Drosophila melanogaster: one gene and its partners. The protein of the gene in region 3 interacts with the protein of the main gene of each other region in a pairwise test. Each region holds a gene or a part of one and is shown on either strand. Other genes may lie near its edges.

Region 1 (6,838 bases), on a different chromosome or scaffold from region 3:
TAGACATATGCCCAGTGTTCGAAAATCGAGTGAGAAGCCTGGCAAAAGAGAGCGCGACCAAGGCATGCAGCTGCCCTAAGGACCTCGCCCAGGACGACGACGACGACGGAGTCGAAGGACCAAGAAGCAACCGCAACCAGAGGCAGCACCCAACAAAACGACGACAATCAGTCAAGATGAGTGATGATCAAGCGACGTTCAACGATGAGAAAGGTGAGTCCCCTAACCGCTAAGCCCTCCTGATACTGCTATTGATAGTTTTCTAAGCCACCCGGCCTCATAAATATTATTCCCGATGTGACCAGGGGGGAGTTGGGTAACCGGGAGGCCATCAAATCTGTATGCGGGAGTATGCATGGTCAGGGGGCAGGTGTCACAGGGCAGGACTTCTGCTCCTTCTCCTTCCTCAATCAGGTCCTCCGACATCCTGACAGCGACACCTGCACGCCAACCAAAAGAAAGACGTGCACAGTGGTTCTGCACACACAGAAGTCTTTTGACTGGAGTTGCACGACTTCTTTCCATAGAGAGCAAGTTTGTTTTATTTTTTACAATTTTATTAATTTCTCGGCCTATTTAAGTTCACTTCTGCATATTTTTATCCCTGAAACCAACAATTGGCTTAAGAATAAACTAGCAGGTCAAGTTATGAGCTCAAAGATTGACATTCTTCAACAGCCACCCACAGTGCCATATAAAAGGCAGTTGGGGTGGGGGGACCAAAGGCATTTCCTTTTTGTGCGTGTTGAGCGTTTTCCTGCCACTTCCCGAACTCCTGTCCTGCTGTCCGGTCCTGCTCATCAACATAATTAAATAGCATTGCTCATTGTGTGCCGGTTGTGCCTTGGATACGGGGCATGTGCTTGGGTCTGGGGCACTTGGGTCCTGTGTCCTGGGTCTTGGCCAATAAAACGAAAATGGAATCGAACCAGCTTAATGGCGGGGCAGAGTGACCCTAAGGCCGTTTAAATAAATGATAAACAAATCGAAAATGGGAAGCGCTTTTGTCGGACCGAAAAGTTTCGGCTGATGACTGGCCATAAGTTACGCAATCGTTTTTGCAGGCGCCGATAGAGAGCGCCATTTGTCCTTACAGCAGGAGTGAGTGGGTGGGCCTTGGGTTGATAAGTGGGCGCAGGGCGCCATTGTCAGCGGAGTATATTCACTGGGGAGGTGAACAATGCACAAAGGCCAGCAGGCGCTGCCATCTGCGGATTACGAATATGAACGGAAACGGAAACTAATTAAATATGTAGAGCAATTGTTGCTGCATCTCGCTTTATCCTACCGATTCACTTTTTCACTTTTGTTTGTCCCGCATCACTGCAGCCAGTGTTTCGGTTTCTCCTTCGGCTCGGCTTGGGCTGGGGCTTGGACCGACCACCTTCCTTTCCGCCTTGCCAGTCTCGAATTGGATTTGGTTTTTGGCCAGGGCCAGGAAGCAGTCGAGAGCAAGCGCCCCAACTGCGAGGGGCGTAATTGCCCTACCCCCTAAGCCTCCGCTCCGAGTCCAAATCCCAATCCCATTTCAATTTCCATTCCCATTCCCGTCACCATTGAACTTGCTCAAAGGTCTGCGCAGCTGCAACTGCAACAGAGGCAGCAATGCCAGTTGCAACTGCAACAATGGCTGCACTTTAAACAACAAACTTTGAAAGTTAAACCAGGAAATCCGAAGCAAAGCATGCAGTACATAAGGAGTATCAAGAGAGCACCATAATATAGCAGAAAATCGAATTGACTTTTTCAAGACTTTCCCCACAATTCTAAAACTGTTGCCCACAATCTCGTGAATCACTTGTAGCACACCTTTTTCTCTCTGTGTGTGGATGCAACTGGTTTTTTGGGAAAACCACGACATTGCACGTCGCTAGTTGCTTTTAGTTTCTGTATCGGTGTGCAATTTCCTTTTTGTTTTTGGGCGCTTTGAGAATGACTTTGCTTCCGCGTGAAGATGCGACGGCAGGTCTGGAGTTTCGAGTCGCGAGCCCGGGTCGATTATGCAATATGGGGAAGATGTGCGTCTTCGTTGCATCTGATGTTAATGTGCGACCGCCAACCGGTTGCCCATCGTCATTGCCGTCATCGCCGGGGCAGCAGAAGCAGCTTCATCATCGTGAGCGTGGCCCTCTCTAGCTGAAGATGTAATCCCCATTGAAAGATGCTCTGATGGCACTGGAGTGCAGCCCATTTGCTCCAGCTCAGCGGCTTCCAGTTCGAACTTCATTCGGCACAGCATCGTGATTATGACCGGCGATGTGGCTTTATTGGCAACAGATTATTGCGTCGGTGTCCCGCTTGCTGCTCCCAGCTAGTTCCTTATGTAAGCCCGCTTTGTTTACAATCCGAAACAGTTTAAATGTATATTAATTATTCGGCAGTGATGGAATCTGCCGAGCGAGCAGTCAGCTGCCTAGCTCCGTAGCTGCCAGATGAGAAATGATAATCAGCGACGTAATCGAAATGGCCGGATGGCCCCGATTCGCTGGCTCGGCCCAAGTCACTCACTGCTAATGAAAACAGTGGCTAATCAACGGCGAAAGCATGGCGGCGGGGGTTGTTGGGGCGTCCAGATTGGTGGGTGGGTGAGTTGGAGGTGTTGGGTGGCCAGTGGCCATGACCTCTCTCCGCTGCCAGTCGGACATCTTGCTGATGTAAGCGCGAACAAAACCCACGGCGCGTTGCCTTTTGCCCATGTTGCAGCGCGGGGGCATGACAAGATATTTTTGATGTTGCTGCAGGCGAGGCTTAACCCAATAGCGCTCGAGAGCCTCTCGCCAAACGGCGACCTGACCTGGCCCAATCCAAAGAACAGTAACTGGCTCCTTCCCTGCCTCACAGCCGCGGCACCACTGCTTCGCGTTGGTAAACAAAATTATATTGATAATTTCCGGCACTGGTACGGCCATCAATGGGTTAATGACTAGCGACAGTGAGCAGCCAGCGGGCAGCAGCCAACCCGGCCAACCCTTGGCCAATCGTTATGCAAGTCTGGACCAACAATAAGGAATTGCCAATAGGAAGTTCGTCGTATCTACATAAAAATCCATAAACATGAACGTCAACAAAATACCTAACGGTTAACAACCAGCATCGGCGATGTGATAAAGTAGCAATAGCAACGAGCTCTGGGCCAAAACTGGAACTGGTCAAGTTGCATATTACCACAGTTTGAGTTTCGGTTTTAGCTATTTTCGGCCGCCAGCCCACGAAGCTTAGGGCCACTCAGATTTTCTCTCGAAAGAAAGTAGAGCACAGAAGCGAATGCTCCTCGAGAGAGTGTGTTAGTGCACTGGGAGAATCCGTGTATTACAATTACAAAATAAAAGTCTTAGATTTAGAAAAACATTTTTATGCAGTATCCAAGCTGCTTTCGTAAAATATGATTTTCTTACGTAAATATAGCAAAAGGAATTTAAGATATCTTTTAGCGATCTTAAATTGGTCTACGAAACCGGTTTTGTTTATCATGTAAAATATTGAAAATGGAAAACCAAAGATGATTGATACACTTAAGTTGGCATCACACCATGGGATTTAAAATAATTTTGAGTCACAGACCCTTTTTTACGTTATCCGTGTGGTATTGCAATTGGGCACATGCTGGGGATGATGATGTGAAAGGTCAACACTCTCGCGATCTTCAGAAAGGGAGAGTGAAGACTGGATGGCCGAGAAGAAGACGAAGACGAAGACGCGGCCAGTTGGCCTTCAATGGGTCGCGGTCGTGAAGTCTCCAGTGGTCTGGCTCCACTTCATTCAGCTCGTCGTCGGCGAAAGAGATTATCTCTGCACTTGCTCAGCGGCAAGCGATCGCTTATATAACCGCATGGCTCCCGAGTGGAGAAGAGGGCTATAAAACGGCGTGTGCCCATGTTTGCCGAATCATTTCCAGTCGGTCCAGAGGCGAGCAATCATTCGAGAGTCCTTCGTAACGAATCCAGAGAAATGGCAGCCCGTTTCATAGTGAGTTTGGCACGACACCACGTCAGTTCAGGTGGATCCTAACACAGATTCCCTCCTCCCACTCCCAGATCAGTGCGCTTCTGCTGGCTAGCCCAGCGGTATGGGGAAAGCCCACCTTCGGACGAGAGCATGTCCACATCCGTATTCACCTGCCAGAGAGCGGTGGGGATCACGGCGGCCACGGAGGCGGTGATTTTGGCGGCCACGGAGGCGGTGATTTTGGCGGCCATGGAGGTGGAGGCTATGAGATTCACTCCCACGATGGCGGATACAGCGGCGGTGGAGGAGGCGGTGGTCATGTGAACACCTATGCTGTTATCACCGAGAACCACGGATACAGTTCCGGGGGTGGCGGAGGCGGTGGAGGTGGCCACGGATACAGCTCCGGCGGATATAGTTCCGGTCATGATGATGCCAAGATTGCTGCCATCGCTGCTGCTGCTGGCTCGTCCTCCGATCACGGACATGGCGGACATGGAGGCAGCGGCGGACACGGCGGAGGTTATGGTGGCCATGCCATCGCCAACATTGCAGCCATCGCCGCCAGCTCAGACTCCTCTGATCATGGTGGCAGCGGAGGATACGGCGGCTACAGCGGTGGCGGTCACAGCGGAGGAGGTCATGACACCCAGGTGATTGTGGCTGCTGCTGCGGCTGGAGATTCACATGGCTCTTCCGGCGGATACGGCGGCGGATCCTCCGGTGGATACAGTGGTGGCTCCTCCGGGGGCTACGATGGTGGATATTCTGGTGGATCCTCTTACAGCGGAGCCTCCTCCTACAGCAGCGGCTCGTCCTACAGCTCTGGAGGATACAGCAGTGGACATGGCGGTGGCTATAGCAGTGGCGGCGGATCCAGCTATGATACACAAGTGGTGGCTGCAGCCGCTGCTTCAGGCAGCGGTGGCTCCTACGGCGGGTCTTCCGGCGGCGGTGGCGACGGATACAGCTACTCAGCGCCGGCCTCAGGCGGCTGGGCAGGATCCAGTTCAAACTGGAAGTAGACGGCAATGTCCGTCGTTGGCCATCTGGTCGTCTAGTCTACTGTTCACGTTTAACTTATATTTGACATGTTCGCTCATCCATATTCCACACATTCTCCCAAGATACTGGTGTACAAAATAAACCATGTTAGTGTAATAATTTAAGCCAGCCGCCCAGTATGTGATTTACCTAATGCTTGCCCAGTTTTTGCCGATTTTTCTCCGCCTCTTTCATCGGAGCTATATAGTGGCGCTTAAACATGTCATAGATGGAGAAGTACACGGCACTCATCAGTCCTGCCTTGAGTAGAGTAGGCAACATTCCCTTATAGAAGCCTCCGATTCCTTCCTCCCGAAACGTGGTGGTGATGCAGCCCAGGATCGTAGGGCACTCGGGGTTGCGACCAAAGGTCTTACGTTCCTGTTTGAAGGCCATCAGCTGGATGCGCTTTTTAAGCAGGTCCGCCGGGTACACGATCATCTTGGCCAACACCCCTGACAGCGCCCCATTGAGAAACAGAAATGCGCCGTGGATTTCCTGGCGCTGGTCGGGAGGCTTGGCCATCAAGACAGCCGCGTTGAGGTACTTGTAGAAGAGAAAGTTTGCCCCTACCAGCGGAAACACCTGCACAAGCGTGAAGGGTAGTCCTCGGGAAAGTCCCATCCACCCCTCCATCTTATAGACCTTTCGAAGTCCGGTAAAAGTGTTCATCTGACTGCGGCGCGAGGAGGGGTCTGCGGCCACCATCTGTGTTCTTACCACGTCGAACGGCTGGGCGGCCACGGCTCCCAGACATCCGGCTATGCCGCCGCAGATGAAAAACATGAGAAAGGGTCGCTCCCTCCAGTAGTCAAACTGGTGGGCCATGGAGCGAAGCTGTTCGTAGGACCAGAACTGTACCAGAGCGTACGAAATGCTCAGAACCTGGCCGGAGTTGTGACCACGGAACATACCGCGCATTCCCTCCTCGGCGTACACCGACTTGAAAGCGTGGATGACTCCACGGTATTTGGACCCCTTATGGTTTGTCACCGGCTCCACTTGCATCTGGAATCGGATCTTCAGAACGTCCAGCGGCTGGGTTATGGTCCGCGTCGCAGCTCCGGCGATTCCGCCGCCGACGGCCTGCATTAACTGGACTACCACCGAGTTTTCGGGCATCGGATGTGGCGACGAGCAGTGGACGGATTCACTCACGGCAGGAGTTATTCACTGTACAGATGAGGACGAAGTGGTGTGTTGTCATTCCGCAAGCTAAATTTCCTGCTACTGTATAAGAAAGTGGCTAGGCTTTTATTAAGCTCTGGCCAATTACACAGTATTTTCCAATTTAATATTTAGTCGAAATTTTAAAATACACAATAATTTCTCTGACAAGAATGTAAAAGCTTAAAATTTTTAAGGTGTCTACGTACTTTAGTTGGGGTCTGCATGTGAATGTACATACATTTCTATGCTTGTGTTGGTTGTCGCATTATTAATCCCTTCGATCTCTTTCAGCTGTCGCCAAGCACCAGGTTGTCGCGTACACGCAGAGGTCGCAGGTTAAGCACGAGAACCGGCACATCCAGCTGGTGCGGGAGTACGGCTTCCACCCGCGCACTAAGGCCTCCGTGGAGGACGGCGACGTGCTGCCCCGCAAATTCGAGCCCTTTCCGGAGCACATGTACGGAAAGCCGCTGGAGGAGATTGACACCTTCATTTACGAGGAGGTGAGTACTGCCGCGTTCAACATTCCCTCATTATCCGCGGCCTCGCCTCACTTGGCCGCCCATTGGCTCTAATTAAAAAGTCACAGGCAGGCGACCAGACCCCAGATCCGTGTTCTCATGGTAGGGCAATCCTCGTGGTGGCAGGTGCAGGCGGCGGAAATGGAACGCGGCGCGCG
Region 2 (7,471 bases), on a different chromosome or scaffold from region 3:
GCCTCGCCTGATGCGCCTTCGACTCCATATCGTTGATGTTGGAGTGCAGCTTGTAGATGTCCGAGGAAAGACGGGCTATGTTCCGCTTGCCCGTGTTGTAAAGATTCTTCAGGCCACGCCGGGTGCGTCCGATCGCCTCATGCAGTCGGGCCACCCGTCGCTTCTGCTGGTTGTTAATGATCACGTTCTCCTCGTTGCGCTTCTGGAGAACCTGATAGTTGTAGTCCAGCTTCTCGGAGTTCATCAGCACATTGTCGCGCGTGCGACGTAGCTCCAGCTCGAGCCTCTCGCACTCCTTCTCCAGCCGAATGCGAGTGCTCTTGGTCAGCTCCTCCTGGGACTCGTTGATCTGCTGGGTTTGGCGAGCATAGAATTGCTCGCGTGCCCTTACCAAATTGGCCTTCTCGTCAAAGTTGGCATTCATCGCATCGAAGAAGGTGCGCCACTTCTCCACCGCATTATCGGCGAAGATTTGACGCTCCTCCTCGATGGTTTGCCGCAGCATTTGGATGTGCTCCTTGTAGGCCTCCTTAAGCGTCTCCACCTGGTGATCAACGCGCTCCACCAGACAACAAAGATCCTGGGCCTGCCGCTCGCGATCGAACTCGTACTTGGCATTCATGCGGTCCACCTCCGCTTGGCAGGCAGATATCATCTCATCCTTGCGTGCCATAATCTCGGCAATGCGTTTCTTTTGCTCTTCGATTTGGTCCCACAACAGCATCGGCTCATTGGTCTCCTCCAGCTCCGTCCAGCGCGCCTTAATGTTCTCGAAACGGGCCATTGTCTCAACGCTTTCGCGTTGCAGCTTCACATGCATCTGATTCTTCTGCGCACCCTCGAAGAGTCGGCGATTCAGCTCCCTTCGCTCGTTGGCCACCCGGACATTGGTCACTAGTTCTTTGCCAAAGCGCACCAGTTCGTTCAATCGCTCACTGGACAACTCCAGCCGTTGATCAATCGGCGACTTCTGGGCCTGGCAACGTTCGGCGACGCCTTTCGGGGCCTCGCGGAACTGCTGACGCACCCGGTTGAGTATCGCCAGCCGGCGTTCGTCCAACTTCTTCACCGACTTGTCGCATCGCTCGTTAAAGATCAGGCCATCGATGCGGTCATTAAAGGACTCCCAACTGTCCACTGGTCCCAGATCGGGCTCCACCTCCTCCTCCTCCTCGACACTGCCGTCGCTGACCAGCTCCTGGTGCTCCTCCAGCTCATCCTCGTTGTCGTCCATTGTTTAAAATATATGCCAGGTCGAGATTTGGATGAGAATCGCTTTGTTGTGCGGAATTTCTGAAGGCAACTCTGCTCCAAATCAAGGTGGTTTGTTGTGTGACTGGAGAAGTTTGATCGAAGGATCCCGGGTTCCCTTGGTTTCGTGGTCATTGCCCATTTCGCCTACTTTTCCGGTAGAAACAAAAATGTTGTCTTTACGTTTGTTTACTTCTGTTGTCAGTGGTGCCCGCCCCATTAGTGTTGCAAAACAAGAGAAGTGCAGGCTTAAGCAAATATACATGATCTTTTTTTTTAATAAAAAGTGTCTCATGACTGCTTTACCATATTTTGTCAATAATAATTAACAATAAATCATTGAATAATACGTATTTAATACATAAAAGTCTATTTAGTTTTGAAATTAGTTCATCTCCACCCGAAATAATCGTTATCGAAATGGAGCAATAAGTGCTGTAGCTAAAGTTATTTCCTTCTCACTTCCTCCTGCTGTATAGCCCGTGCTGACGTCACCGGGGCCTTGCTAAATGCAAAATGAGTGGAAAATTCCATTGCCAAAACCGCAATGACCCCTTGGTACAACCAAAAGGCGCGATGTTTGACCCCTTGGTTGCAATCAACAGTCCGAACTTGATGCCCTTTAAAATACAGCCCTGCGGATTTGTACACACTGGGTTGCATTCGACCAAAAAACTTGGTACTGCCATTCAAAAACAAAGTCAAGCGAATGAATTCTTTACATGATAGTATTTAATTGCGACCTATATATGTACAAAATTTGCGCGGAGTTGCGGCACTCAGTTATCCTCAGTCTTCAAGGTGATTTCATATATCAGCTCGTCGTTGTAGTCCTGCCCTCGGCCATGATGCTGCTGATGCTGCTGGTGATGCTGTTGGACAGCGTTAAAGTACTGATCCTCGGTTAGCAGCTCATCTAAATCCTCACCGCCATCCTCTGCGTCCACTGCGTTCTCCACCAGCAGGTGCTGGTCATCGTAATCCGATAGCTGCACATACTGTTGCTCGCTCTCGTCCAAATATTGGCGATTGGACGGCGAACCCTGCTCCTCTGGTTGATTGTCCTCAACCAACAGGCCGTCATCCTCGTCGTACTCCTCCTGCAGTGGGCCCATGCCGTCGTAATCGTCGTCCTGGCCATTCATATTGCGACCGGAAATGGATTCCGAATCGGATCCTTCACGATTCCCATCCGCATTCACAAAGCGACGCGTATTGCTACGGCACTGAATCGAACGCTTGTGGGCATCGAAGTAGCTGATGTCGGTGAACTCCTCCTGGCACAAATGGCACACGTATGTGCCCTGGCTCAGATGCATCTCCTTACGATGACGGGCCATCTTGTGAGCATCGCGACACTGCATGCCACAGAATGGGCATTTGAGCATCCGCCGCTTGCCCATGTGAACATTGCGGATGTGCTCCTGCAGAGAGAAATTCTTGTAGTAGGCCTTCTGGCAGTACTCGCACTGGAATCGCCGCTTCTTCTCGTGCGTCGCCTCGCGATGCCGCTTCAGCTGGGTATTCTGGGCGAACGTCTTGCCGCACACTTCGCAAATATGCTCCTTCTCCAGATGTCGGCGCTGATTGTGCACGCGCAGATCCTGCTTGGTCGAAAAGTATAGGGTGCACAGTTCGCAGACGTATGGACGGATGCCCATGTGGCGCCGCGCATGTCCGGCCAGGTACTTGCAGTCGCGATACGTTTCCGTGCAGTAAATGCAAGCATAGCGATTGGTGCCAGGCACCAGATGGGTCTTGTGGTGCTTGGACAGCTTTGATTTGTGCATCACATCTGGGCAAATGCCGCACTCCACCGGCAGCTTCTCGTCCATGATGTCGCTGATCATGGAGAACTCCACAAGGGGTGTGCTATCCTCGTCAAAGTCCACAATGGTGGCTATCAGGTCGTCGAAAAGCATGTAGCGACGCGGTCCCTTGAACTCCTCCAGCATCTTTTCGCTTGGCTTCACCTCCTTCACGCTACCATCATCGTCGTCGTTGTTTTTTTGGCTGACAAAGCTACGTAAGGCGATCTGGCGGGCAGAATTTCTAGCTTTGCTAGCGGGCTGGACAACAGGCGACGGCGGCCTTGGTGGCGATGGTGGCAGCGAGGGTGACGACGGTGGATACATATCCAGATCCTCTTCCACCCTTTCGTTATCGCGCGGATGGCCGTAGCTAGGTTCGTGCTCGTAGTCGCCGTAGTCGCCATAGTCCGCCTCCTGTTCCATCTCCGGTTCCACCTCCACCAAATCCCCCACTTCGCTCATATCCAATTCCCTGACCACAAATTGCGGCATCTGTTCGTCATCCGTCAAATCCTTCACCCGGGAGCCCACTATAAAGTCGCGCAGCTCCTTGCTCATCAGCATCTCCTTCTCCACGCCGTTCTCATTGACGATGATGATGTCCTCTTCGAACTCGTTGCCCAGGTTGTCCAGAAGCACGTAGGTGGCATCATCGCTAGTGTTAATCACACGAACGTTTCCACGGTTGTCTTCGTCCGAGTAATCGCTATTGGCCGGCAGGACGAATTCGATTACCTCGTTCGCAAGGCAGCGTTTGTGGCTCATCCTGGTCACATCAACTGAATTAATTAATTAATTCGCACGACTGCCGAAAAAAAACGTAAAAAGTTGCAAGTGTGACCAGTCGCAGGTTGCTGGCCGAAACTAACTATCGGATACCAGGTATCGATGCAATTTTCAACAAAATACTCGCTTTGTAGAAATGCTTGCTTCCTTCCGCTTTCATACATCGACTCACTCTGCGTAGATCATAGATCATGAAAATCCAACATTTTGAGCTGTAAATGCCACTCGATTTGAAACTTTATTACAAATTCAACGAGGTATGACATTCCATATATCGACCAATATTAATTTTGTTTCGATCAAATAACTGCTACTTTTTGAAAAGAAAAACGAAAATTCGAGAAATGCGAATACATCTATTCGAATTTCGATCATTGCCTGTGTGAAACGTGTATTTTCTTTACTAAAATATATATAATAAATAAATTAAATATTGTGCCGATGAATAGATCGCAAAATATCGATACATGCGCATTATCGATAACGCGCAATTTGAATAGGTGCTTGCGCGCCAAAAAAAAACATCGCTGGGCATGCGCGACGTCGGCCAACGTCTTTTGCCGCTTTTGGCCCCTTCCCTCATTGTTGTTGTTGCTGTACTGACTGTTTTGCGGTCTGCGCTCGCGACTAACTTGGCTAACTTCTGGACTCGGAATTGGCCCGGTGCATTGCATCTGCACACTCGGTGGCGCGCGCTTGTCTTCTTGAGACTTCTTCAATCCAAAACGGGCGTGTTTCGCGATCTCATCCACTTGTTCAATAGCAGTTAGTGTTTTGTTTTTTTTTTTACGGTGTTTACTGTTTCTGTTCGTTGAGAGCGTGCGAAGTGCGCGCATGCGTAGTAGCTGATAATTAACCAATTTGAAAATTGCGGTTCTTCTGCTTTTTTTCGCAATTCAAATTGACCGCATAATTGCGCAAGGAATGTGATTTTTTTTACTGTTTATAATATAAGTGTTATAGAAAAAGAGAAGAAGCTCAACGCGAAATCTTAAAGAATGCTAAAATTGGGATGATGAAAGGATATTAAATTCGTTCTAAAAGGTAAGAATAATATCAGTTATACATAAAAAAAAAAAACTATGTCAAGTTACAGTAAAAACAAATGGTTAAAAAAATATCACACTTAGATTTAAAGAACTTATCTGTGCGATTTAGAATAAGGACCAACTGAAAGGATCGTATAAGTTTATTGACAAAAAAACATCTATACAATTGTAACCACACATGTTATATTGAATAATATCTCAGTATATTAATTTGTAAGATTAAGGACTAAGGACATAAGCCCTATGATTTTGAAATAACTCAAAACGAGTGAAGGGCACCGTCACTTCGAAAGATACAAATACATACATACTTGTATATTTAGTTTTTAAGTAGAGTCCAAGTTATATTGTTAATTGGGCTGATTACAATGCCCAGTCAAGTTAATAAGAGATGGGAATCACAAATACAAATAGAGAGCACAATAAGCGAATAACCAACCATACTAGCTGCCAGCTAGTAACATCACAAAATAGGATTACGCAAAGTTGCAAACGCATTATGTTGATGTTGATTTAAGCTTCGGTGTTTGCCTTTATCGCATCTATTTATTTATTTATTTGTTCGCCGTGCTGCAACATCTTTAGCCCGGTAGCCCCATGGCTCCATAGCTCCATTGCTTTATAGACTCCATCCAATCAAACAAATATGGGACAAACTTGACCCGCTTTCGTCGCGGATTTGGCATCACATCGCATCGCATGGCATCGAAAATGGGCAGGGAAGGGCTACCCCAGATTGGCCTCTCGTTTATTTGGCCATTAAAAATTACATAAAGTGACAGCGTTGTGCCCCTTTCCCTTTTTCTATTAGCCCTACAATTGATTAAAATCATCAATATTGCTAGCTATACCTTTAAATAGTTATTTAACAATTGAAGTACAAAATTTCCAGTTTAGTTAACCCATTTAAACACGAAAGCCCAGCAGCAACAAGTACACACCATGCCCCCCCCCCCCCCCCCGTAATTACTTGACCCAAAATCATCGCTATGCTATGTATGCAACTAATGCATTTCCATTTCGCAGACAAGATTCTCGAACTTGGACTGGGAGTAGGCCAATTAAGAGTTAGCCACGCGGCCGCACGAACAGGTGTCGTCGCTTCCAACACAGCAACATCTAGTGACAGCAGCAGCAACATCCAAAGACAGCAGCAACAAGTGGCATCATTATCGTTTTGCGGTTTTGATCATCGGCGGGGCGGTTTGCCGTTGCCACTGGTAGAAAACGGGAAATCGGAAACATGTTCTCCTCCAGCGCCTCGGCCGCGTCCACATCCTTCAATCTCGGCCAGCTGCTGCCATTGGCCATCGCCATCGGAGTGTTGCATCTGCCGCAGTTTCTGTGTCATGCTGCCTGGACAACCAGAACGCCGGAAAGTTTCATTAACGATACGACCACCACCACCACCACCACCACCACCACCACAACCAAGACCATGCAAATCCAGGCGATGCAGGTGAACTGCAGCCGGGAGCTGCTCGAGATGCATCTGGAGTTGAGCCGTCCCTTTCGCGGATTACTCTACGCCAAGGACTTTCCGCTGGAGTGTCGCGCACGTGGCAAGGACTCGACGCGTCTGCATCTGCGCATCCCAACATCGGGTTGCGGAGTGAGGGCAGAGCCACTGGAGGACGGCAGTCTGGAGTATACGGTGCGTGTGATGCTGCAAAAGGAGCAGAAGTTGCGCCAGAGCACCGACATCCTTAGCTCGGTGAGATGCCAACTTCCGGCCAATGCGATGGGCATGCCACTTCCGGTGTTGCGACAGGAAAAGGGTCACGATAGGTAATTCTACAAATGCTTTAGTTAATGTAACAAGATGGAGAAGTTCTTTTATGATTCGATATATATATATATATATATGTAGAAATGCCAGGATGCGAGCCTTGGCAGCTGCTGCTGCAGTTCCAGCTCTCGGCGCCACTTCGTCCATCAATCAACAGCAGCGGGAGACGCCACGCGTTAGGATCTGGTTAGAATTGGGCGGTCCCAATGGCACCGGATCCGTGGAGGTGGGCGTCGCCACCACGCTGACGGTGAGAGCCATCGTGCCCGGAAACATCGGAGTGCGGGTGGTGGACTGTGCGGCACTCGATGGACTGGGCGAATCCACGCAGCAATTACTCGATGCCCGCGGCTGTCCCATCGACGAGCAGGTGAGTGAAGCGATCAGCTGAAGCTATCTATCTATATGCATATGCATATATATATGGACGTATCTGGTGGATCGTTCATTTGCGTAACAGGTGCCGGCGGCGCGACATTCTACGCCAGACCAGACCGTTAGAAACTTAACTTGGATGCGACGAGACGAACGGAAAGTCATTAATTAGCCACGATCTCGATGCTGTGGGGCGATCTGCGATTGATCGCATTTAACTTTCATTTTTATGTGCGACATCTAGAGGGTATCAATCTAGAGGGTATATCGGGCCAATCGATGGGAAAAACAAGTGGGAAAAACAATCCATTCACAAAGTTCGCTTAAGTTCATCTGCCAAATGATTTAAGCTGCCAGAACTAAAGTATTTCCAAAATTTTAAAAAGAAATATCATAAAATAGTTTTCAGT
Region 3 (8,390 bases):
TATGCGAATCTTTATCTGTTTTATCAGGTTTATTTGTTCATTAGTTCGACGTCATCGGGAATTATCGTTGTACAGTGTGCATTCGATGGTGTGGGAACTTCAGCGTCTCAGGTACAGCGAGCTGTAGGGATAGGCTCCGTAGGCGTAGGGCGTGGCGGCATAGACGCCGCTGGTGTAGGCAGCACTGTACGTGGGTGCGTAGAGTCCGCCCGAGTAGGCGTAGGGCGTGGCAGCAACCACAGGCGAGGCCGCACTGTAGGCGGTCAGGAATTGCGGCTTGCCACAGGCAACGGCCAACAGGGCGAACAGGCACAGAGCGAACTGGTTAGAAAAGTTGGGTGAAAAGGGTGAGGGGGGATTTCATTAGCCAAGGAAATAATTACAGTCTTTTGGAGCTGCCACAACAATAAAACTCCTTAGATTCAAATAGATCTTATGTTGTGACTTGAAAGGAGCTTAATAGAACCTCTGATTGCATTATTTCAGAATTCACTTTTGTCAGATACTTGTATCCTTCATAGGTATTTACTTGATATCCCTTTAAATACTCACAAACTTGAACATCTTGAATTGATTGATTTTGGTGGTATATCCGCTGATTGAACAGAAACTGATATGATTAAACAAACGCAGAAGCCCTGGCTTTTATAGTAAAACCTAAGTGGACTTTTGGCTTCACTATCGGCTTTGGTGGGCGGCCCACGAAAAGGGGCGGTGGGCGGTGGGTTAGAGGTCACTCTTGACCCTGGCACGTTTGCTCATTTGCTGTAGTATTGTTTTTTTTTCCTACTACGTTTCTGGCCCGTTTTAATTTGGCCCAAACGTCTTTATGGCCGCTTTGCGCTGCGTGCACTGCATTCTTAATAGCGCTTTTGTTTACCTATGTATGTTTTTTGCTAGATGTTTTTGGAGAAAAAAAATAAAAAATAAAAACGGAAGCAATCAGAAAAATTCCCTGAGCAAATGCAATTTGACCTCTGGCAATGTTAATTTGTGTTGGCCAGATTGTCAATTATCGTTATGACTGCCAGAGATTCCTTGCGCAGCTCCGAAATAGAAAATTCCAAGAGGAATTCCACAGCGAAGACCTCAGAGAAACGGGTTGCCTTGGCTACTTGGCTATGTGAGCCTCATTTTTCTTAGCCCTTTGCATTGCTGTTCCTATTGTTTAGATGCAGCTGATTGTGTTTACACTGCTCAAAACTTATAGTCTGATCACGAATAATACTCAAGGATATAGAAACATTTGCTTTAAATTAATCAAAAGTGAAAATAGAATTTTAGTGTTTAGATTGAAAATAGAAATTTTGTTTCAGTTTGGCGCCTTCTTTGCTGTTACGCTTTGCCCACTCCACAAACATTCAATTTGTCAAGTTGTTAAATTTTAGCAGCTTTTCAGCTGTGCCCCGCCCACTTTCCCAAGAGCGCCCACTTTCTTTGCTCTCGCCCATTGTTGAATGCTGTGCATTTTGCATTTTAAATACAATATAAATTAAGTTGGCAGCTTCTGGCATTGAGAACAGTTTTCGGCAAAGCTGCTGAATGAATGAATGGCAGCCCTTTTATCAAGATTCTCAAGTTAATTTTGCTGAAGGATAAGAAGTTCGGGGAAAATGGGCGGGGAAATCGAGGAAAAACTGACATTGAAGACGAATTGTTCGCTCGGAATGAAGTGGAATTTTATTCCGGTGGGTGGAAAACTTTCCTTGACGATTGAATAAAACGCTGAACTGTTGGGAGAACTCAAAAGCACAATACTATTTTAAAATAGTATTACCAAAGATGTTGGATACCATAAATGAGTTAAGCACAAACTCCATTTGTTTATAAAAATATAATGTGCAAATATGATTTCCAATTTATTTATCCATAAATAATGAAAACATTTAAACATAATATTTGAATCTTATAAATTGTCTCTTTAAATATTAAGTTCGTAAATATATTTGAACGATCATTTACAAAATTAATTTTCTTCGTATAGTTTTGGAGTCACACAAAACATCGGCGAGAAATTTCTCGCATGCGATAAACAGTAAATATTGCACTGCTTGAAGCAGTGCTTCGCAAACTTGCGGCGCCTCTCAAACTGCTATTGTTGTGCTCTCTCCCTGAAAATTTTCTCTCTTTGAATTTTCCATTCTGTTTTTCATTTGCGGACCTGCGCTTTTCATTTGCCGGCATTTCTGGAGCAACAACAAAATTCCAGCGCTGAGTTTTCCCCCTGCCATGCCCCCCTTTTCGTATTTATATATTTAGCTCTCATTAAATATTTTCAACTAGAGCGAAAGATACTTCCGTTTCCTGTTTTATAAAAATAGTACTTGCCATATATAAATATACATATTTACTATGTATATAAATATTTGTAACTATATATGAGGTAAATACTTACTTGACTTAATATAACTAACTAGAAAATAATTCAAACTCCTTATCAAATTCAAAGTAAAATTTGGGAAAATCTACCATTTAGTTCTTCTATATATTATTATATATAAGATTATACTAAAAGTTCACTTTTCCGAGCGCTCACTGTAGGGTGTTTTTGTAGTGGGCCTAAAAATAGGAGACGCCACCACTCGTGAAAATTCTTGAAGAGCAGTTTGGGAAATTCCTTACCGAAAAGTTATATATGGCCGAAAAGAGATTTGCCTTGCGCCATTGTTTAGTGAATTGAATTTTGGTTCAGTGTGTATTTGTTTTTGGAAAAACAAGGTGAAATTGCTTTTGAAGTGCGGTTGCTTCTTGTTTTTCTTTCGCTTCCCTCGAAAAGATTTTCATTTGCCGATTGCCTCATTGGATTTTGAGGTATTAAAGTTTTCGAGAGGGGAATTAGTATCGCATTATTTGGATGTTTCTGGTGCGGAATGCAAATTGATTTTCAATAGTTTTTCGACATTTTCCAGCTCGCCAGAGGAGGCGGCTTTCCACCCAAATTGGCAATTATCATCGGGTGGCGGAATTTGTGGGTGCGAAATGCAAATCAATGGGCAAATCTAATTCAATTTGAGTTCCTATAATCAACTGCTGTGAATGTGAAATGAAAGGCAGACGAAGTTCACTCGTCACTTGATTCAACGTCGTTTATTAATTTGATTTATATGACTTAATGATTAACCAAATATTTATCATATTGAAAAAGATTGACCATTTCGATTAAAAACAAAGATACAACTATATTATCTTTGTAATAATATTTCGATGCTGTTTATATAGCCACGTGTAAATACGATATGTTATCAAGAAATTTATTAATAGATATAAAATCGAGTTTGGCGCCAAATTAAATTTTGAATTTCCAGCCGCTCTCTTCTCGAGTGTGACCGCGCTGCCGACAAATGCCGCGAAACGGTGCAAATTCGGCCTTATCGGCCGCTAAGCAGCTGGCCACACTGCGGCATATAAACAATTTTTTGTCACAATTTTTTTGAGAGCAGACGAACGCACATCGAACGCCAATTGGGGATCGTAAAGTCGGAAAAACAGCGTCGCGCTCGCTTCGAAATAGAAAAAAAACACAATAAACATTAGGTCAAAATCGCATTGGCAATCTTTTAAGTTTCGATTTGATTTAATTTCGCGGTGCAAAGCGAAAGAGAATTTTGAAACGTTTGATTTTTGTTGTTTCGCCGCTCTCTTCGTTGTTGTTCTTTTTGTTGTTTTTTCCGGCGCGTCGTTTGGCGTTTTTAGTGTATGCGTGCGTGTGTGTGCGTAACTACGTGCAGCTGTGTGCGTGCTTCAGTTTGATTTAAATAAATTATTAGTGAAAAGCAGCTGAGAAGAGTAAAGAATACGAAAAAGTGCAAGTAAACGCAATAAAAATATTGCACATTAAATAATCAACAAGTGTAAGTGCAAAGCAAGTGATGTGCAAAATGCAAGAGCAGAGAAAAGAAAATAAAAGCAGAGAAAATGCAGAAAGGAAAATTGTTGTAACTTTTTAACAGCCCAATATCGAATTTAAGTGGCTATTAAAAATCGAAGATCGAGGCAAAGTGCAAAAGGCAACAAAACTACGAAAGCGCCCAAAAGGAAAATCCGGTTTTACAACTTCTCTCTTCACACACTAAACACACACATACAAAACACTCACACTCACACCAGCGAACAATCGAATTCTCTCTGAGAAACTAAAACTAAAATTCCTTTGCTGGGTTTTAATGAATTTTCTATGGGAATTTCACCAGCTAACGAGCAGCTAAAAAAATAATAATCGTAGATAAACAAATAGTGTGAATGAAAAATCAGCTGCGACAGGTGATGCAAAACAAAATACGCAAGGTGCAAAGAAAAAAAATACTTTCATGTGAATTCGATCACAGTGAACGCTCAGTAAAGAAGGAAGCTATTATCTGATCATATCATTATATTATTTAATTTAGAAAACAACTTTTAAAAATTACTTTAGATAATTAACTCATATGCTCATATCATTTGAAGTGCTAGAAAGTTTAAATAAATAGTTATCCATTTTAAAGCTCCACTGTATCTCAAGTATTTAAAAAACCATCCAGAAAAGTGAAATCAATAACAAAAGAATTTGAAAAAAGCGGAAAGAGCGGTCATAAAAATAGTATAAACAGAAAATAACAATAAACCAGTCAAAAAAATAAGCAGTTACCTGTCTCACTCTCTCTTTCCTTAATTCAAACATTTGCGTAAACAATAACCGCTTTACAGTAATTTCGGGCACCTGCTTTTTGTTTACACAAATGCATAAATATGTTGAATATGAATAAATTAATTCATTCAGCGTGTACGGGGCACGCTGCCTCGCTAAATGGAATTTTCACACGAAAAGTGGGAAATATGTGAAGAAAATATAGCGCCAACTTGTGTTATCTTATCCGTAACACAATTTTAATGATGGTGCAATTGAAAAAAATAGCAGAGAAATGTGCTACAATTGCTTCCTTATCAAAAAAGGTATTACCTGCCGGAAAGAGATAGTGGTAGTAGTGATAGGCGGGGAAAGAAAGAGATGGGTGTACGGTGTAGGAAATTACATATTTCATTATTTCCTCGCCCGATTTTTCCGACCAAATATTTTTATCTACTTACAATGTTGTCTAGACAGATTCCTTCGCTTTTCTTCCGTTTTTTTGTTGTGCCACCCATTTGTATATGTATGTACATAGATGTGTATAGGAAAAGTCTGGTAGTGGTGTGTATACTGCGAGATTTCGCACCCTCTCCTAGGATTTTCCTCTGCCGCCGCCTTTACTGCTTTTTGTTGTGCTCCAGACTTCAGTTTACTCCACTTTGCGACGACTTTCGACCCCCCCCCACACCCACAGCAGTGGCAGGCCCTTTTGTGAAGCACCCCCCTTTGCAGCATCCAGCAACCCCCAAAACGCATTCTCTGCTCCCTTTTATTGCCTTTCCTTGTTGTTTTCGGACAGTGGTGCTTGCCTAATTGAAACTAAGGCTGTCATAAGAAAAGAAGTCAAGACAAAAACTACACTTAGTTTATTCTGGGATTACCCAGCTATTAAACACAAATTGAAATATTGTGTAATTATAAACAACAGGACATTTTTCGAGATTCCAAATTCTTTGTTTACTGTAGAGCATCAGCTGTTATAGTCAGCTGACTCAACCGAAATGCACAGTGTGACCATGCTGAGCAACTAAAATAAAAAATTTTTGGAATCCCCGTCAGTTTACCATGTAGTTTACTAAAAATTCCTTAGATAATTGCATACTGTGGTGTTTGGCTTTGTGGGCGCCGTTTGCGCGCAATTTTAAATTTATGCGAACGTTCTGTCACCCTCTCTTTCTCCCTTCATATGCCCATCTCTTTCCCTTCTCCGGGATAAAGAAGTTTTGCCGAAACAACAAAAACAGCGGAGGATGACGACTCTTGTCCACCGTTTTGTTTGTGTTTTTGTCCATTGGTTTTTGCTGTCTGCCGCTGTTTTGCTTTTGTTGCTGCCATTGTCGTTGCAACGTCGGAAAGAGACGGAGCTACTGGGGAGCGACAAAGAGGGGTGCTGCAGACAGAGATAGCGAATTCCCAGTGAATTGTGAATTGCGTTCCATTAGCAGCAACCCCGAACACTTGTGCTTGTGGACTGTGCTGCATGGGCACAGTGGAATGGGTTGTATGACAATTGGAGGTATTACTGTGCACAATCGCAATATTTTCCCAATTTAATATTAGCAGATTGGCATTTAAAAAGGAATTTTTCTGTAGCTTAAACAAACCATTTCTGCACCTGATAGCTAATCCACCCCTAATTGCCCACTGTGCATCCCACTGTGCGACAGCTGCTGGTCAAAAGAGCTGATTGTTGTTGGTTTTGCCATTGCTGCTGTTTCGGTTTTTGTTGCCTTTTCTGTTTGTTGCTGCCTCCGTACTTCCTCCATCTCTGCCCCCCTTTCCTTCGTTCATTGAAATTTTCTTGCGGCGTTCGACAAATTTGTTGTTTAAAGTCGCGTGTGCTGGAAGTTGTTATTGGTATATTTTTGTTTTTTTTACGCTGCTGCTTTTACATAAACAATATTTTTTGTTGTACACAAAAGTTCTGCTTCCACCGTTTTTATCTGTGCGTTTTTTTCAGGATTTTTTTTCGCATTTAATTGGATTTGATTGCTTTTGGCTGGCGGCGGCGCCTCTCAAACGAAAAATCCATGAATCCGAGAGGCTTTTTTTTGTTGCTGCCGCAAATCGCATTAGTTTTTGTTACTATTTGGTTCCCAACGCTTTCCTTTCTGGTCTCACATTTATTTCGATTTTTTTTTTTTCGCAGCCCATTGTTTGGCTTTACAGGCGAAACTCCCTAAACCGGATGTTCCCATAACTTGAACTACATTTCTAGTACTAAATTGCAAAATTACCATTATCATTTAGGCATTTCTTGACTTCTTTCGGATCATTTAAGTATACTAGTTTAATAAAGGAATAATTAAAATAATAATCTACATTTTTTTGCGATACTTTAACATTGTGTGCTTTTATAAGATTTGTTTTAAATTTTTTTTTGCAAAGCCAGAGTTGCCCCAAAAATAAAAGTCGGGCCTCCCTCTCAGTGGGTGCATCTCTTTCTAGCCCACGCTGCTGCCGTCTCTTTCTCATGAGAATAAAATCGCTAAACTACTGAACTGTAAATGAGGTTCAATGAACTTGCCACAAGGCGAGTGGAAGAGAGACGGAGACTGCGAGCGAGCGAGAGGGGGAGAGTCGCTCTTTGTTGAAGCTTTTTCCTCATATTTTTTTTTTAATATGCGCCTGCTGACGTTGCAAGTTGCCCGCGTCGTTCCACATGTGCAATGTGCAATATGCAATATGTTGCACCCTGCCCACCACCCCCTTGATCCCCGCGCCGCTGCAGCCAACGCATTTGCTAATTTAATCGCCTCTCTTTCTTCTGGCGCCGTCTCTTTCGCACCCCGTTTCAATGGATGTTCATTAAAACAAATGCTGTCGACATAAAAAATAAGTTGTATGTTGAATTCATCGCTCTGACGAAAAAGTTACACATGAACATGAGTTTAATTAGTTATTTTATACATAGTAAATAGAAAATTCGTGAAATTCAAAATACATTTTATTTTACTTATCTGATTAAAGTACTTTCTATGTTAGCTGTGATGTTTTCAACAAAATGGGTGACTTTTATATATATTTTTTGTGGTGTTTTTTGTTGCACTGCCTTTAGCAACAAATGTTCAACATTCAACCCCCCACACCCCTCCCCCGTTTCCACGCCACTTCCTGAGCCCTCTTCAGTTTTCGCCTGGCCGCCTTTTTAATGCGAGTCGCGCGCCAAATCCACAAAACCGAAATAATAATAAAAAAAAAAGTAAAAAGTTAACTAACTGCCGACTCAAAACAGAATCGAAGCTAACGAGCCAAAAGTCAGTGCACTGGAACAAGCAACTCAAACAACCACAAAACATCGGACAGCGGACCACAAAAGCCTAGTTACAGTTACTCTTAGCCAAGATTTCGCCCAGCGCTGTTCTGGTTAACAACTCACTACGATTCCTATCGACTTTGTGGGCCAGCAGACTAGACAAGAAATACAAAAAATATTTATACGGGCACTTTTTTTTATGACGGACAGCCATTAAATGGGGCTTGAATTTGAGTTATTATCATATTGGGGAAAGTTTTCATCTATATTTCCAGTTTGCTATTTTCAATGTCAATATAAATGTGAAATGAATCATATTCTATGATATGAAACATTCTCTATAGATTCTTAAATATTCTTCATACAAAATGCTGGCACTCAAAGATCAAGGAAAAGTGAAAACAAGCAGAACGAGTCGAATTAAAGGAAGGAACACGAATTGAATTTTAATTCGCCGCAGTTATGAGATTCTTCCACTGTGGACCGCCCTTTGTACCTTCGGGTTCCTTTATGTATATCGTCAGGTTT
Region 4 (8,201 bases), 4.6 Mb from region 3:
TGATAATGAAGATTGGAAGGACTGAAGCTTTAGTATGTAAGTTAATGCAATAATCTATGTATGTATTTGTACAATAATATAAACAAAAAGTGGGATGTTCTACAACTTATGCAGTTTGTCGCTCAATAGAAAGGATACGTACAAATGGTCAACGCTTCATCACTGATTGGCGACTAGAAGGAGGAGGAGGCGGTTTTAGTTCCATTTTCTGTCAGTGTAGAGCCTATTCGGGGGCTGTCATGTGGCCAAGCCCAGTTCCTGGACCCATCGGCCAGGGAATGGGGCCAACCTAATGGGGGACGCTGTCCGGGCAGCTGCGTGCGATTCTGCGAAAGCCGAAAAATTATAATAACCAGTTTGGGCTGCTATTTCTTTATTTTTTACTTTGTGTGTGTGTTTTTTTTTTTTGGTTTGCCAAAACCTTCGTTCAATGACCCTGGGCAGGAATAGGGTCCCAAGATGGGCAGAGAACCATGCAAGGGCAATAACTCTCCGTTTTTTTATTTTTTTTTATTTCTTGCAAATTCTGCGGCGAAAGTTGATCGGGCGAAAAGAGATGGAGAGCGATTCCCGTGCCGAAATCCCGAAAAAAGGCAGAAAAGAAATGCACATTTAGATTATACGAGATATTGGCCAGAAGTGGGTACGAAAGGTATGCATACCTTTCCTTTGGCACATGGCCCCAAAACTGCAATAAACTAGTGGCCCAAAACGAACAAACAAACAGCAGCAGAATAATGCTTTATTCCCCCTCTCTTCAATTTTGTATTTAAAAAAAAAAAAACATTTTTTTTTTTTGGTTGTGTGTATGCCTTCTGTTGGACAAAAATTCCGAAAAGCAAATCCATTTTGTTCCGACTTTCATTTTGGAGCAGCGGCAAGCGCTGCACACAGTTTGAAGACAATTGTATAAATGAAAGTTTAAGATCTCCGGCGGCAACTGAACATTGCGGGCATTTTGGGCACCTGTGTGTGCATGTGTGTTTGTAGGGCAGTGTACATGCGATGGGCCGGGGGGGCGGTGGGCGTGGCGGCAGCGACAGGTACACCGGCACTCAAGATCGATAGCAGTCCAATAAAAAAAAAGGAGTATAAAAAAATAAAAATCCAAAAAGACCCGGCACGTGTTCCCCCAAGAGCAAAGCAAAAGCACTTTTCAATTGTTCACCACTTGTCGATGATCGTGGCGATGATAATGATGCCAACACCGATATTGCTGCTGCAGTTGCTGCTGCTGCTGCTGCTGCTGCGGCTGCTGTTGCTGCTGCTACTTCCACTGATGATGATGAACATTTCTCCAGTGCAGTGTCTTCAACTTTGCTACGATTTCGATTTACTTTTGCTTTTCATTGTTCCTAATGCGATGATGATGGCCACTGGCTGCCGGCTGTTTGTCGAGACATTAATAACAATTTCATGGTTTTCAACACAAAATGCACACCCATCGGAAACTTTTCCGATTTTCAATAGTTTCTATTGAATTTACACAACAATTTTGCAGTGTTTTTTGGGTTTGCTAAGAGGATTACCAAATGGTATCAGTTAAAAGCGTTACGGTTTCTTCTTGGAACCGATACTTTTAATTTGAATGGTTTTAAATAAAAGTTTGATATTTTTGAAATAAAAAATACATTTCTACTTAATGAATGCTAATAATAATGTATGGTTTTATATGATTTATATATATGTTATATTAACTAACCTATATAAATCTAATGAACTATTTATTTAAATTTCTCATCCCTACATCCAAGATATGCCGAAATCTTAAAAACTTTCTTTAGTGCAGCCCAATTTCTTTGTATAAGTTTTAAGAAGCAAATTTTAAGGGTTCAATCCTCTCGCATTTCCTCGATCTTGATCGATTGATTCCATTGACTTCGATTCCATTGCCCCCGGCCGAAAGTGAGAAATCAGAATTAAGCAAGTAACCGTGGACAATCAGCGTCAATTATGGCTATGTTCCTTAACTATATACATATATGTTCATATATGGCCATTATATGCGATTTCGATTCGGGACAATCAACTCTTTTTTCGCTGAGGAGGGTGCTCCGCTTCCGGTGCTTGAAATAAATCTTCAAATTAAGATGCTGTCTTCCAGAAAATGCTCGAAAATCGAAGCAACTTTTTGTAGTTTTCGCCGAGAATGAGCGAAACAAAGCGGGCAGATATAAAATTGAATGTGAAATCAAAAACGATCAAAAGCGCTTTGAAGTGACCACTTGGCACAATATGCGATGTCTACACCCGACTTGAGTTCAGTCGGTTCTTGGTGAATGCGTGGGTGGGTTAAAAAGTTCTATATTATCAGTATTTTATCAGTTTAAAATTGTCTTTTTATCATTAATTTTATTATTTATGCGACAGAACTAATTTTTGCAGCAAAACTTGAATTTAGTACGGGCAAATCGAACAAAAACTTCCAGTGCCACCCTCTTGATAATCTGAAAATCTGACAGCGAAAAACAGTTTGTTTAAAATGAACTCAAATGCGAAAATTACACCCCAAGCGACCAATTTAAAACCATTAAATTATAATTTTAAATTTTAAAGAGCTCGAACGACTTGAAGGGAGGGCAGCCGTGGCATTATTCAATTAGGGAAGACGCATTTGTATAGTTTTTGGACTCCCAGCCAAATGGAGTGCGTTGGATCCGACCACGATCATCCCCATCCCCATCCCCATTCTCCACCTCCACTTTTCACTCGGAAGATTATTCTTAACGTTTCGCAAGTCGATTTCAGTTGCTTCACTTGCCTCATTGCGATTGCAACACGGGTTCAACTTCAAGTGACGGAAGTGGGAAAACGAAAATCAACTACAGTTGAGCCTCTCTACCGTGTACTTTCCTCAAACGTAATATTCAATCATATCGAACATTTTAAAACTGGTGCCTTACTAAGATTGAACAGGAAATCTTATAGAATCTTAAAGATTTATTGTACTAATTTTTTTGATAAAAGCTTTTAAGATTCTTCAATTTAAACATAAATATAATAAGCATTTTTCAGTAGTATGCTGCAACATGTTTATATAATGTTAATTTTTTATTAGCCCTCAAAATTGGCTATTTAAATGTATATGTATATATAGGCCTATTAGGCCCATTCGATCTATAGATGTGGCACTGTAAGATAAAGCGGTTAATTTCGAAATGAATGCAGTTGCCGGGCAGCAAAAAGTGGCGATTTCGGCGTGTAGGTGTACAAACGCTTCGCCGTTTATCTCTATTAATCTGTGCGTTCGCACTCGCTCGCACCTGACACTCATAATTAAAGAAACAAATAAAGCAGCGCACTGGCTGCTGTTGCGCCTGCGCAGCGGTCACATTTGCATAGCAGCAGCAGCAACATCACTCGCAACAGCGGCAACACAGCAGCAGCAGCAACACAGCAGCAGCAGCAGCAGCAGCACAACAGCAGCAACAGCAACCATGTGAATCCAAGAGTTCGGCACTTGTCGTGTCTTCAAAAGCTTTGCTGCCTTGACTTTGACTTTGGCCAAAAGCTCGCTTTTCAGCCAAGAGTTCGCCGCGTGTTGCTGTTGTTGCTGCTGTTGTTGCTGCTGCTGTTGCTGTTGCTGGTGCTGCTGCTGCGGATGTTGCTGCCGCTGCGCGACTGCGAGCGCGCGGCTGCTTGTCTTGGTTCTTTAAGTCCGTGGCTGGCTGGCTCCTCTTCAGTTCGTTGCTGACCATCGTTACGTGCGGACGTGCCCAGCTCAGCTCATCTTCGTGTGATGTGGCTGCACTTTGCACACTAAACTTAAGATCTGAGCCCAAAACGTTTTCCAAGCTGCAAAAATATAACAAAAGTGCCGCGACGCGTGTGACAAACGAAAATCGAGTAAAACGGTAGCTAAAACAATGATTCTATGAATATGAAATAAGAGAGCGCACAAAAATATGGAAGGAAATAATAATACTGATAATAATAATAATAATGATCGAGGGATATTTTTTGGAATTGGACTAAGGCGCGGCCATCGGGCCAACTGAGTGTAATTTCAGTCAGTTTCTTGCGCACAGACACACTCGCCAGGAAAACAAACAAACAAACCAACTAAGCAACCAACCAACCAACCAACCGACCAACCAACAAACAAACAAACAGCGAGCGTCCAGATAGACAAACATACATGGGAAGGCAGTCAAGTGAAGACAGTGCAGAGTTCTCCTGTCCAGTTTGCTGCAGATGCGGTTGGAGATGCAGTGGCAGTGGCATCAGCAACAGCACCAGCACCAGAACACACAGCGCACAGAACCCAGCCGAACCAAAACCAAACCGAACCGAACAGATGCAGATGCACCCAAAGCCAGTCCAGCATCAGCTCGGATCTGGCTTTAACTTTGGCTTGGGCTCCAACTTCAGCTCCAGCTCCATCTCCAGCTCCACTGGCACATGTGCTGGCGGTGGAGTCGCCATATTGGGTGCATAACGGTGCTAGAATCGCGCTGCTTTTTGCTTTTGCTGCCTTGTGTCTGAGTGTCTGAGTGTCTCTCGGCCAGCTTCTTAGCCAGGCTGTTGCATTTGGCTCTCGGTGCACCGCATCCCAACCCATCTTATGCCATCGCATCGCATCGCATCGCATTGATGACGACCCAGCGACCGATAGACCAAGCGCAAAAACCGCAAACTAAAAATGCTGATCCCCTTTGCCAGCGACCCGCTCTTTTGCGGTCGCCAGCCCAACACTTTGCACATGCTGATCGATTGCGGAAGATCTCCGCCATCTCCAGTTCCATTTGCATCGTCCATCTGCATCTCTGTATATGTATCAGCTACTCCAAGGCTGACTGGGTCACCAAATTGAGTCGGCCAGTTGTCCAGACACTCCCACCAACTGGCCCCTTTGACCAAATGCCAAATATTAGTAATAATATTCTCGTCAGGTTTTTGCTTGGTTAACCAATTATTCTTTATTCTGAAGTAGAAAAGTATATGGTCATAACTATTGGTTAAATATGTCGAACTTCCCTTTTTTCTTCCAAAAAAGTTTCAAAAGACTTAACGTAGCCTAATGCCTCATTTTATCCTTATCTGTGCATTTAAAATTAAATCAAGGGACACCCATTTTCTTTCTTCTAAATTCTATACAAATTTCAATTAAATATTCAGCTTCCAAAGATAGCACATACGTTTTTCTCTGTGCAGCGACTAGTTCTCAGGCCATCTCACCTTAGACCAATTTAAATCGAACTCTTAGGCCCTGCCTCATTGTCAGCTCCGTTTTCCCTTCCTTTTTTCCCATTTTTTTTATTAAGTTATAAAACTGCTGGAGTTAGTAGATGTTTTATATCGGCACAGAGCTCAGTTTTTTTTTTTTTTTGTGATGTTCTTCTCAGCCGCCTAACGGTAATGCCCTAGAGCGCCACATTCTCAGACCCAGTCTTCCAGTCTCGAACTCTTCGGCCCAGACTCATGCATTGCAATAAAATGAAATTTTATAACAGCGTCAGCGGCAGCAGCACCGAACAGATACAACGACGGCAACAAAAACGTTACCCAAATTCCAAAAAAAAATATATAAAAAACCTGAACGAGAGAGAGGGAGACAGGCAAAGGTCGTCACAGCAAGTGAAAATAGCAAAGCCAAGAAACAAAACCAAAAAACAAAAAAAAAAACTAAAGACGGCGGTCGAGATAAATAAACGAAATAAGTTTTAGGGCCTAGTGGCCCAAACAAGAGCTAGGTGGTTCAGGTGTTAATTTCCCATTTTCGGGTTTTCTTCGGCTGCCGCGCAAGTTCGCTGCCTAAGTCTTTCGTTTTAAAGTGGAGCGACACCGCGCGCACCGCTCGAATGCCCATTGAATGCGAATGAGGGGCGTGTGAGCCGCAAGCCGGCCGGTTCAACTGCAAAATAATAAAACAGAAATTATTATTATTATTATTTCCCTCATTTTTGTGTGTTGCTTGTTAGTGGGGCGCATTTCCTTTACCCGAAAAGAAAAAAAAAATGAAAGAAATGAAATAAAGGAGAAGAAACCTTTTCGTTCCGTTTTTGACCCTCAAAGTTCAGAGTTTAAGTCAAGCCTCCCCTCACCACCACCACACTGACTCCTTTCCACAGCGAAAAACATATATTTACGACTGCAACGAGAGGAATACCAGCTACAGGAAAATAACCCAAGAAAAGCGGCTGAAAAATCGAAAAAACCAAAAGAAAACACACAAAAGGAGGGAAAAGCGAGAAAAGCCTTCCCAGGGAGATCCAAAGCAGCTTCTTTGGAGATTCAGAAGCGGCAATGACGGCGACTGCGAGGCAGTCGGCAACATCGAGAAAGCAACCTGCGATCGCAATGCTCAATGGAAACGCTTTTACGGTTAAGCGGCTCTTAGCGGTAAGTCAACTCATCTAAGGCCAAAAAAGGCAAAAACAAAAAAAAAAAAAAAAAGAACTAACGACAAAAAATCAAACTGCACTCCCCCACATAAAAATCATCATTTGGGGCGTTGCCAATTCAAATTGCTCCACAAAAAGCAGCCAAAGCAAATGTTTGTCACCTGGTCAGTTCCGAGCACCATTGTTAAGCACTTTTTCGCTTTCTTAAACAAAAGATTCATTTTTTTGGCACAATTTTCGACTCTTTCATCGCGTGGGCTCACTTCAATCGTGGGCCGCTGCTCTGCAAGATAGTTTTTCTCCTTCTCGTGTGTAAAGAGCTGTGAAGTCGGCCATTGGGTCAAATTGTTGCTGATAGATGGCTAGGCAGGCGTCGAAGATCATGATGATGTCGGTTGTGTTCGGTTGGGGGTCGCCACTTCACCGACTGAGTAATGTGGGCAAATTAATCTAATAAAAGGTGGGAGTCTTCGTTGCCTCTGCTCCACTGGACCGAACTTCATTCCAAGAGAAAACAAAAAAAAAAAAAACTCAAAGCTCGAGAGTGGGCATTAAGTTTAGTGAATTATTTGCTTCATAAAATTTCATTGCCCGGCACTTAATCATTATTACTGCGGGAAGAGTCATTATGGGTGTACTATGGGAACTAGTTTGTCTATTAATAAACGATTCTATTGAATTTGCTGGCTATTTTGGGATTCCAAGAAAAGTGCAGACTTAATGCAAAGTTAGTTAACTTCAAGTAAGTTATTGTTAATGATTTTCGCGGTTAACAATCTCATCAATTTAAATGTTCTTCTAAATATCGTACGTTTCTTTGTGCCAATTTATTTATCAGGACTGGCATTTGCATATAAAAAATGTGAAATTCAATTTGCAATCAATTTTTTTTTTTGTAATTGAATAAGAGTTTCCCATGCGATGCACAATCTATTCATGGTGCTAAATCAATGGAATCTGTTTGTTAGAAAGCAATCGGCCAAGGGCTTCTCAACTCCAGTACTTGAGAGAAAATTTCCTTCCAGCAGTTATTTTTTTTTTTTTTTCACTCCAGCCAAGACTAACAAACAATTTATCCGTTTCGATGTTGTTTGTTATTATGGTCCGCTGCTGCCCTCGGCCGGCCCATTCAACCCATTTCGAGCCAAGTGCATTAAGTCTTGGCCAGAAGAGCCAGTGAAGCCAGTAGATGGCCAGAAGGCCCAGTAGTTGGCCAGCAAGGCAGCAAGAGCCGCTGCATCTGGGCGCTCCACCTGCATTCGGACCGGCCAAAGGTCACCAGACGGTCTGGCGCCCGACGATCATTAAAAGAGTACGAAAGTAATTTGTAAAACACGAAAACTTATCTACTTCTTTTTTTTTTCGCTGCTGCTGAGCCGAGCTTTTCTTGCTGTTCTTTTACGATTCTAAATTACAATGACTGCAGAAACCGAAAAAAAAAATATGCCACTGCAACGGGTCTTCATTAGCACAGACTGGTCGTAAACCCAAAATAAAAAAAAAACATTTTCACAAAAAAATAGGCAGCAAAATAAATAAGCCAAGTCAGTTCGCCGCAGGTGATAAATGGGGTTTTGGCAGCTTGGGTCTTAAAGACCGGACCTTTTGGCCAGGAAGACGAATGGCCTGGCGAAGGATTACAAATGGTGAGGTGGACATGGGTTGACGGTTATTAGCAATCCGCCTGCAGATCTTTGTTTACGCGCTTTTCATTTTGGCAAGATGACAATGCTGTGGCCAATAACGAAAGTAACCCCCGAGTTATTGGGTCAAAACGAAACAACAAACTCGGACACAATGGTCAACACATTCTCTTTATTCTATTTAGTGCCAGTGCCAGTGCCTCGTGCTCGAAAG

What was found.
Region 1: the proteins of CG32264 (region 3) and CG9083 interact in a two-hybrid assay, tested with the Drosophila melanogaster proteins (one large-scale study listed by BioGRID).
Region 2: the proteins of CG32264 (region 3) and CG2116 interact in a two-hybrid assay, tested with the Drosophila melanogaster proteins (one large-scale study listed by BioGRID).
Region 4: the proteins of CG32264 (region 3) and ImpE1 interact in a two-hybrid assay, tested with the Drosophila melanogaster proteins (one large-scale study listed by BioGRID).

What each region holds. Positions count from the first base shown.
Region 1 is NT_033778.4:24,894,394-24,901,231, forward strand, and holds CG9083 (uncharacterized protein), read left to right. Parts: upstream 1-3,879; 5' UTR 3,880-3,948; coding exon 3,949-3,966; exon of another isoform or gene 3,967-4,034; coding exon 4,035-4,970; 3' UTR 4,971-5,112; downstream 5,113-6,838. Other genes in the region: NaCP60E (Na channel protein 60E), read left to right, coding at 177-213, 6,451-6,662; Tpc2 (thiamine pyrophosphate carrier protein 2), read right to left, coding at 5,140-6,111.
Region 2 is NC_004354.4:8,126,275-8,133,745, reverse strand, and holds CG2116 (uncharacterized protein), read right to left. Parts: upstream 3,935-7,471; 5' UTR 3,828-3,934; coding exon 2,031-3,827; 3' UTR 1,963-2,030; downstream 1-1,962. Other genes in the region: CG10958 (uncharacterized protein), read right to left, coding at 1-1,234; cyr (cypher), read left to right, coding at 6,141-6,685, 6,768-7,056.
Region 3 is NT_037436.4:3,783,018-3,791,407, reverse strand, and holds the start of CG32264 (uncharacterized protein), read left to right. Parts: upstream 1-3,447; 5' UTR 3,448-3,851; intron 3,852-8,390. Other genes in the region: CG32266 (uncharacterized protein), read right to left, coding at 100-321, 553-564.
Region 4 is NT_037436.4:8,368,730-8,376,930, forward strand, and holds the start of ImpE1 (Ecdysone-inducible gene E1), read left to right. Parts: upstream 1-3,675; 5' UTR 3,676-3,854; intron 3,855-6,015; exon of another isoform or gene 6,016-6,071; 5' UTR 6,072-6,246; coding exon 6,247-6,342; intron 6,343-8,201.